2 linked regions of the Oryctolagus cuniculus genome follow. The protein of the gene in region 1 purifies or fractionates together with the protein of each later gene. This does not show direct contact. Links are inferred from orthologs where the notes say so. Each region holds a gene or a part of one and is shown on either strand. Other genes may lie near its edges.

The links.
Region 2: the proteins of RAB5B (region 1) and GDI1 purify together in Homo sapiens (affinity purification with mass spectrometry; 3 studies listed by BioGRID and IntAct, counting the BioPlex papers as one, with this or other methods). This does not show direct contact. The link is inferred for Oryctolagus cuniculus from reciprocal best matches to the Homo sapiens genes RAB5B and GDI1.

Annotation. Positions count from the first base shown.
Region 1 is NC_091442.1:58,763,045-58,767,519, forward strand, and holds the start of RAB5B (ras-related protein Rab-5B), read left to right. Parts: upstream 1-1,618; 5' UTR 1,619-1,632; coding exon 1,633-1,757; exon of another isoform or gene 1,758-1,856; intron 1,857-1,920; exon of another isoform or gene 1,921-2,005; intron 2,006-2,223; exon of another isoform or gene 2,224-2,319; intron 2,320-3,872; exon of another isoform or gene 3,873-4,047; intron 4,048-4,475. UniProt on the Homo sapiens protein: The small GTPases Rab are key regulators of intracellular membrane trafficking, from the formation of transport vesicles to their fusion with membranes.
Region 2 is NC_091453.1:132,666,823-132,671,188, forward strand, and holds the start of GDI1 (rab GDP dissociation inhibitor alpha), read left to right. Parts: upstream 1-1,319; coding exon 1,320-1,364; intron 1,365-2,575; coding exon 2,576-2,683; intron 2,684-2,817; coding exon 2,818-2,917; intron 2,918-3,063; coding exon 3,064-3,198; intron 3,199-3,671; coding exon 3,672-3,870; intron 3,871-4,106; coding exon 4,107-4,238; intron 4,239-4,366. UniProt on the Homo sapiens protein: Regulates the GDP/GTP exchange reaction of most Rab proteins by inhibiting the dissociation of GDP from them, and the subsequent binding of GTP to them. Promotes the dissociation of GDP-bound Rab proteins from the membrane and inhibits their activation.

The sequences.
Region 1 (4,475 bases):
CTGCCCCGGCTGTGGGCCAGAGGACTTGAAGGCTCTTAACACAGGCACTGTGCCTCCCTCCCATCCATTCTCCACGGCCTTAGAGGCAGGTGAGAGAGTTTGGATTTTTCTCTGCCCTCGGGATTCTTAGTTGTTCAGCTACCATGGATCCCTGCTCCTGTCTTTTCTGAGGGCCACCCCTGCCCCCTAGGAGAGGAAGTTAGGGTTTAGACATCCTTTTGAGAATGCTGACACTTCCAGGGATGACATTGGGAAAATATATTTCTTTAAAAGAAGGATGAACAATTATATTTATATTTCAGGTTATGGTTTTTAAACAGGAGCGGGTGGATTTTTTGCCATGTGCACCTTGGGGTTTTGTAATGGAAATGTTAAAAATGTTTTCCTTTTTTTATCATTCTGGCTCTTTTTCTTCCACCTCTTGAACTTGAGTGCCCTTACTATTAACGTTATTTGTAATTTAGTTTGTAATTCATTAAAAAAAAAAAGTTCCTAGTTTTGTAGTTATTTTGTTCCTCCTATTATTCACGGGAAGAATGGTGTGAGAGAGACCAGGCAGGCGAAATTGTGGTGACTGGTTTTAGGCCTCTCTAGGCAGGGATACCCTCTCACTCTGTTTTGGTCTCTAAGATGCACTTGGAATTGGGATAGGACCCAGGGTGAGTAACGTGGGTATTAGACCCATTTTACAGCCAGGGAAGCTGAGGCCCTGTCATTTCCTCCTTCACTTTCCCCACACAGCAAGTCCTACCTCCCCCCACCCCACCACCCCCACACACACAGCGACCATTCCAGAATCTGCAGTAGGGTTGGAAGTAGGTTCCAGAAGAATCCATCCACCTGTACACCGCCTTTCCCAGTAAGCCGCGTTGATTTTCCTTTCTGTTGCTTATCACACACGGCAGAGTTTCTGAAGATTATCTTATTCACATTTACATACAATTCAAAAAATACCCACTGAGTATAGAAAATTACTACCACGGCGTCTCCAGCTACTGCTTTTTGTAGTTGCCATTGTCTCCATCAAAAAAACATCTCAGATCGCCCGCAGGCCACGCCGAAAACGCACGTCCTCTGAACCCTCGCTAAAAGGAAGAGCGCTGAGGCGCGTCTCTCAAATTCCCAGGCGCCGGGTCCCCTCAGAGGTATTTCCCTTTACGCCCGCGAATTTGTCATAGAGGGCGGGGCCCCGAGTCAGCCCCCGCCAAATCCAGGGGGAGGAGCGAAGGTCAGTAACGGCCTCCCTCAGGCTTCCTTCAACCCCGCCTTGCCTGCCAGTCAAGTCCCGAATTTCCGCAGCACTGGCTAAAGTCTCACTTGGACCCGCCTCCATCACTCACCTGATTAGATGTTTATGAGTCAAAAGGCGGGGGTCATGGGGTGTCGAGGTTTTATTGGCTGGTACGCACGTCTATCAACGACGTACCGCCCCCTGTCTCCGGGAGCTCGCTCTTTAACGGCCCATCACCTCGTCCGTCTTCCAGGTTTCTCTCCCTGTATTGGCTTATGACCCTGCCTGTCCAGTCCCTTGCTCGTACTCGTTGGCGACAACACCCCAAGAGTCCCGCCTTTCTCCAGAGGATTGGCGGATGAGTGCACATACAGCCCACCCTCGATGGTAGGCGGGTAATCATGCTATTGGCTGGGGCCCCCGCCCCAGGGCGAGGAGGAGGAGGAGGGGCAGGAGGTTTGGTTGAGTTGCAGCTGTTTGTCTGTTCGACACAGGCTTGGGCCCGACGGGGGAGACGGAGCCCCAGGTACCGAGCTGATGGAGCCCACAAGGGCAGAGGCAGAGGCGCCGGGAGATGAGAGCGGCCTGGCCTGAGAGCGCAGTCGGGTCTGGGCCTAGGCGAGGGGTTAGAGAGTGGCCCAGTGGAGAGGGGAGAAGGGGGCCGGGCCCCGGCAGGCCTAGTGGGGGCGCTGAGGAGGGGACCGGGCGGGCTGGGAGGCTGAAGTTGGGGAGGCGGCTGGATCCCGGCGGCCGGGAGCCGGAGGCCGTGCGAGGGTAGGGGAAGGCCTCATTACTCATGGAGAGGGAGGAGCTGGGGAAAGGGACGGGGCAGCGGGTGAGGTAAGCCCATTTGCCTGGCGGTGAGAAGGGGTCAGAGCTGACGCCCGGGCCCCGGGGGTAGCCGGGGCCGGGTCTCTTGGAGGGCTGTCTTAACTGGGAGGGCCCGAGAAGGGCTCTTAGGTTGGCTAAGAGGCATTCTTTTTGAGGGGAAGTGGCTGCCGTGAAGAGACTGGGGGTGCTGTGATGTGAAGCCGAGAGGATTTCTGTTCAGGGAGACGAGGGCAGCTCTGCTCGTCTGGAAGACTGAGGTAGTTGAGGGCACGGAAGCAGGGCCTGGTGTCCCTTGCCGGGGCTTCTGGGGCTGTGCTGCAGGGTGGGCTGGACGCTGAGCCTCGGGAGAACCCGTTCTTTTGTTCCCCTTAGCGTCTCGCTGGGGCAGTGGGAAGGTTTTTGATAGTCCCAGGGTAGGGAACGGAGAAAGAAGTGAGTTTACTTTTTTCCCCATGACTGTTGACTGCTCCTGGTTCAGCCCCTGCACTTTCTCTCTGGGTCTGGTCTTAGACTGCAGTTCTTCTCTTCCCTACCACGGATTCCTGTCTGGCGAAAGAAGTTGGTAACTTGGCGATGTTTTGTTCAGTTCTTTCCCACTTAATAATGTGGTCTTCAGCCTAGAAATGGGCAATGATCTCATTATTTACCCAGAAAGGAACTTAGGGATCCCTGGCCATCAAGAGATAGTCTGAGGGTAGTTGGTGGAAACTTTTGTGGGACTTAGACTTGGGGCGTTCCTGGTCAGGTACTGAAGTTAACCAGGCCTGGAATTAAGAGGTGATACCAGTGAGGAAGAGATTTGGAGAAGGAGAAATTCCATTGCAGAAGGTTGGCATCACCACCTTGTTCTTTGTCCACTTCCTCAGGAGCCCAGGTTTCTGTGCTATTAGGAAGTTGAGTCGAACCATCAGGTATTTGAGGAATGGAGGAATAGAGAAAAAAGAAGGCAGAGGATTGGAATCCTGTTCTCTCCATTTTTAATGGTCTGCTGACCTAGTCCCTGATAAATGGGAGCCTATTTGATTTTCCCTGGCTGTACTTCCTCCTTTTTCCCTTCTATACTGATGTATTTTATCAATGCATTCCTGAGTTACAAAATATCCACATGTTTTTAAGTACTTTTACTTGTGCTGTACAGAAGTACACAGTGCAAGTCCTCCTTCACATACCTCCTGTTTGACTCAGGGAGGTCGAGACCAGACTGATCTAACTGGGGGATGTGCCATCAAAAGCAATTCTGTTTTTGTGTTATCAGACTGTCATCTGTCATTTCTTTACCTTTTCGGTGTTAGTCTGTTATTCTTTCACTGGCCATTTTATTTTCCACCAAATTCAGACAACCAAGGGAGGGGTGTGTTTTAGGTTATCGTTTGTTTCCTGCAGTACACACACACATCCCAGTTGTGCACTAGAGACCCTAAGAAATGTTCAGGTAGAGGGAGAAAATTTTTTTCTGTTTTATCGGCAAGAAAGAAACATTAAGGTGAATCAGACCATTTTGTCTAGGATAATTATTGGCATGTCTGAAAGTGAAGAATTTAAGACTTCTGTCTTCTGGTTCATGGTCTCTGCATATTCACATCACTTAACCATCCATTCCTTATCCTGGAAAATGAGAATGATTTTCCTAAGAGGCCCCTTGTATCTCTCTTTCTAAAGGGATCTGAGAAGCTTCCAAGTTTCTCTAGACTTGAAATTGGTTTTCTTCTAAATCGGAGTTGAGTGTATGGCTAGGGCATTTCTTCCTCTCTTCTCCCCTCCCCTCCTATGTCTTTAATGTCTGTTTATTTTCCTCTGCTTGACAGAGCAACAGAGAAAAAGAAATTGATCTGCTGGTTTACTCCCCCAAATGCACATAACAGGCAGAGCTAGGCCAGGCTGCCTGGAGCCTGGAACTCCATCCTGGCCTCCCACCTGGGTGGCAGAGCCCCCAAGCACTTGGGCCGTCATCTTCTGCCTCTCAGGATACAGTAGCAGGAAGTTGGGTAAGAAATTGAATAGCAGAGCTTGAATGGGGGACTCTGATATGGGATGCAGGTGTTCCAAGTGCAGCTTAACCTGCTGTGCCCCAAAGCCACCCCATAGCTAGAGCATTTCATACTACTACCCTGTTACTTTAATTTGTCCTTACTGGCTTTATAGAATCCTTCTAATATGTCCTGCCTTTACATTGCCCATCAGAAATGATGCTTATTGTTCCCTATTTAAAGAACTTTTCTCACCTGCCAAGCCAGTTCTTGAGAAAATTGTATAGCGGAATGTATGTTTTAACCCTGTCCATTCTGCCATTTTCTGAACCCTCATCATATCCCATCTCCTCATCATATCCTGTTTCTGCTCTATGTTCCTTTGTGTTTTTTTTTATCTACTTTACCCTTCATCAAAACTTACCTTCATAGAAGAATCTGGAATT
Region 2 (4,366 bases), on another chromosome or scaffold:
GGGGGGAGGGGTTGTGGTTGTGATGGTGTCCAGGTTGTCATTTTCCCACCTTATGGTACATGGCACCCAAGGACCCCCTCTTGCTACCATAGCATGAACCCCCAGCTCCCCTCAGCCTGTCTCACTCCCTCATCAGCCTGCGGAGGGGCTTCCCCGAGGCTTCTCCCAGCCCTCCTGACAAGGTGTAGATATTCTGCATAGATTTTAGGCCTGTCTCCCGGGTCAGCCATGGGAAAGCACAGGGGCATTAGTTCTAGGGTCCCCTTTCTCCTCCCCTTATTTATTCTTCTCTATCTACCATAAGCTCTGGCTGTACATAGCGCTTTTGTGTAGCAAGTTCTCCCTCCCCCAGCTTTATGGGGCTCCCTACAGCAGCCAAGAGCTTCAGGTTGCCCGAGGTTGGCAGAATGTGGAAGTGACCACTTCTGTGTCCCGCTTGGCTGTCGTTGTTGTATCCTGGTGATGTTGTGTTAACAATCAACACTGTGCTGGGGTTTATTTCTGTGACTTCAGGAGGAAGGAACCTCCATGACAGGTGGGCTGGGCGTGACCACTGTGTTTCAGGAGCGCCTGGCAGGAGCCTGGCATGCTCCATTGTCTCCTTCCTAATAAAATAAAGATGGGTCGCCACACGTTGGGCCTCTTGTCATTCGTTTCTGGACTAGAAATGAGGAAAGCGTTGGACTGAGGGATGGGAGGAGGGCAGGAGGGCGGGCGGGTGCGGGGAGGGGGGGAGGTGGCCCTAGATGTATCCCAGCCAGGCCAAAATCCAGGAGCCAGGGCCCGCCAGGGACTCTTTTAGCAAACTGGGCCCCTAACCGGTTAAGGTAGGGAAGGAGTGGTCGGGACAGCGGTCGCCGCGACAATGGCAGCTTCAGCGTCGTGAGGGGGCCGCCCCCGGCTGCTGCAGCAGCGCGTGCCCGGCCCGCGGGGCCGCGCGGAGCCTCCCGGGGGGCGGGGCGGGGCGGGGCGCGCGCGGCTCCCGCGCACGGATCCCTCTCGGACCGCAGTACCGGTCATCGGACCGCCCCGCCTAGCTTCCTCTGGGTCCTTGGCAAACGGCGACGCCGGCAGAGCCGCACTGGTGCTAGGGCCCGAGTACCGGCAACCCTCTTAGGAGGCAAGCCAGGGAAGCGGTGATCACTGCTAGGCGTGGTGGGGCCTGGGGAAGTGTTGGGACTTTTTGACGCGGCGGAGGGGTCAGGCGGCGTTCGAAGTGCCGCCATCTTTGGTCCAGTGCGGCGGCGGCGGCGGCGGCGGCTGCTGCTGTGGTGAAACGGGAGGAGGAGCCGAGCGGGCGCTGGTACCAAGGCCTGACCATGGACGAGGAATACGATGTGATCGTGCTGGGGACCGGCCTCACCGTAAGTGTGGCCTCGGGCGCCTGCGCCTCCGCTTCGTGCCTTCCCGAATCCCTGCGATGATGCAGCCGCTGGCCGCCAAACCCATCCTCCCATCATTCCTATCCTCTGCCCTTGGGTCCCCGAAACGCCAGCCCCGTACCCACCCCACTGCCTTCTCTTTCCCCACTCCCCAGCCCCCTTGGCCTCGCGACGTCTTCTCTGCTCGCTGCCATGACCTCGAAGCGGGGTCTCCTGGCTGCTCCCTTGACTCCCTGGTGCCGACTCCCGGCCTCTCCCATCTTCCCTACCCTGCCCTGCTGGGCCGGAAAACGTATCCCCCACTCGGCCTGATGCCCCCCAGTCCCTCCCATCCAGTCCCCACCCATCGCCCCCACCCATCACCTTCCTAGTATTGTGCCCCCCCAACTTATACTAATCTTAGTAGGGGTGAAGTACGAGGACCTGGGGTTAGGGGGCCTTGCCAGGTTGGGGCCTCGTCCTGTGTTCCTGGCTGCTTCTGGGATCAGAAGAGCCAGGGAATGTTCCAGAATAACTAACAGCGAGGGCAGTGACCACATTCCCGCTCCCCCACCCTGGTTTCCCATGGAGACCTGAGGCTGAGCAATATCTGCAGCCTTTGTCCTTGGGCTGGTGACAGTGACTAGGGAGAATGTTCATCGTCCCCCTTCCCCCACAGCGTGTTCACCCGCTCCCCTGAGAGACACATTTCCCTCAGGCCAGGCCCAGATGCCCCTCCTGAGCCCAGGTGGGGAAGGCTTAGGGTCAGGGGCTCCTGGCCTTTGACGACGGAGCAGCCGAGGGTGGGGCCTGAGAGTCCAAGTGCCTTTCTTCACTTCCCTTTTGGGCGCCCTCTGCGGCCTGGCCAGGTCCGCTGTGTGCCTCATTGTGTCTTATCTGCCGGATTGTGCGGCTCTGCACTGATAGAGGACTTTCTTGGCAGTCGGTGCCATGAGACTGTCCTTGTGTCTGCTGGACACTCTGTCTCCCCCGACTCCTTCATTATTTCTCTCTGGTTCACCTCTGCTTAGCAGGGTAAAAAAGGAGACGGGCGGATGTAGCCATCGCCACCAGTGTTAGGCAAGGCGGCGGCGGCGGAGGCTGGGGGCGTGGAAGGAGCTGTCCATTGTGGCAGGCTTGGGGAGGAGAACAGATCAGGGCTGCTGGTGCGAAGTGGGCAGGTGGGAGCGCACCGGCTGTCCTCACACCCCTAGGAGTGCATCCTGTCTGGTATCATGTCTGTGAACGGGAAGAAGGTGCTGCACATGGACCGGAACCCCTACTATGGGGGCGAGAGCTCCTCCATCACTCCCCTGGAAGAGGTAAGGCTGCCAGCCTGGCCCAGGCCGGGCCCTTGGAAACCTCTCACTGGAGCCATAGTGTAGCAGCAGCGGGTGGCAGGGAGAGGGAGGGCCAGTCCTTGAGGTGTCTCTCTCTCTCCCCCTCCTGCTTACAGTTATATAAGCGTTTTCAGCTGCTGGAGGGGCCCCCTGAGTCGATGGGCCGGGGCCGAGACTGGAACGTTGACCTGATCCCCAAATTCCTCATGGCCAATGGTGAGGGAGATGGAGGAGCTGCTGCGGTTTTCCTAGGGGCGCGGTGGTGACTGGGAAGGACCGGAGGGGGTTGGGCTCCAGACAAGGGCCCGCCAGGCTGGCCAGAGCTCCTGCAGGGAGCTGTGCTGATGTTGTCCCCACCACAGGGCAGCTGGTAAAGATGCTCCTGTATACGGAGGTGACTCGCTACCTGGACTTCAAGGTGGTGGAGGGCAGCTTTGTCTACAAAGGCGGCAAGATCTACAAAGTGCCATCCACTGAGACCGAGGCCTTGGCTTCCAGTGAGTGTGGGTCTCCCGACCTCAGGGCGGGTGGCAAGGTAGACACCGGGAGCCGGCCACTGTACGCCCGAGGCTGCATCCCCTGTGAGGTAGCAGATGGCCCTTGCTCTGTTCCTGCTGCTGCCATGTGCCTCACCTCACAGCGGCTTGCTAGCAGGGCGATCCGCGTGCAGAGAGGAGTGGAGGGTGCTCCTTTTCGGAAGCCTGTGACAGGGGCTCCGCTTGAGCCCTGGAACATCTCTAAGTGTCGGAGCCAAGAGGGCCTTCAGAGTGTGCCCGGCCCAACCCCCTCTTCACATGGGTGGGGAAACCGAGGCCGAGACAGGTAGATTACGCTAAGGTCATGTGACAGACCTCACTGGGAGCCGGGATGCCAGCTTTCTCGGCCAGCCCACGGGGGTGGGGTTGGGGGGGGGCGGGAAGGAGAATTTTGTATTCTAGTGCAAAGGGTCCCCCCTTGCCGCCTTCTTCAGATCTGATGGGCATGTTTGAGAAACGGCGCTTCCGCAAGTTCCTGGTGTTTGTGGCAAACTTTGATGAGAATGACCCCAAGACCTTTGAGGGCGTCGATCCCCAGACTACCAGCATGCGTGACGTATACCGGAAGTTTGACCTGGGCCAGGATGTCATTGATTTCACTGGCCACGCGCTGGCACTCTACCGCACTGATGAGTGAGGGGAAGCTGGTGTGGCGCGGTCCCCTTGCCTGGCCTTTACCCTGCCTCCCCAACACCTGCCCACTGCTCCCTCTGCCTACCCTGCACATTTCTCGTACTCAGCCATAGGCTCCCCTGTTGCCTGTCCGCCCCTCCCCTGCACTTGACCCCCCGGCTCCCCTGGGCCATTCGGGGTGGTGGGGTGAGCCAGGGAGCCTGTTGGAGCATCTTCCCTGACCTCTGTCCCCCCAGCTACCTGGACCAGCCCTGTCTGGAGACCATTAACCGTATCAAGTTGTACAGTGAGTCCCTGGCCCGGTATGGCAAGAGCCCATACTTATACCCACTCTACGGCCTGGGCGAGCTGCCCCAGGGCTTTGCAAGGTGAGAACGTGGCTTTGTGTAGTTGGGATGACTAAGTGGGACTGAGAGCAACAATAGCAATGCCTCCCTTGGGGATTTCCACAGCATTTCCTACTCTGACATCTGAGATGGGGACACAGCCCCAGCAC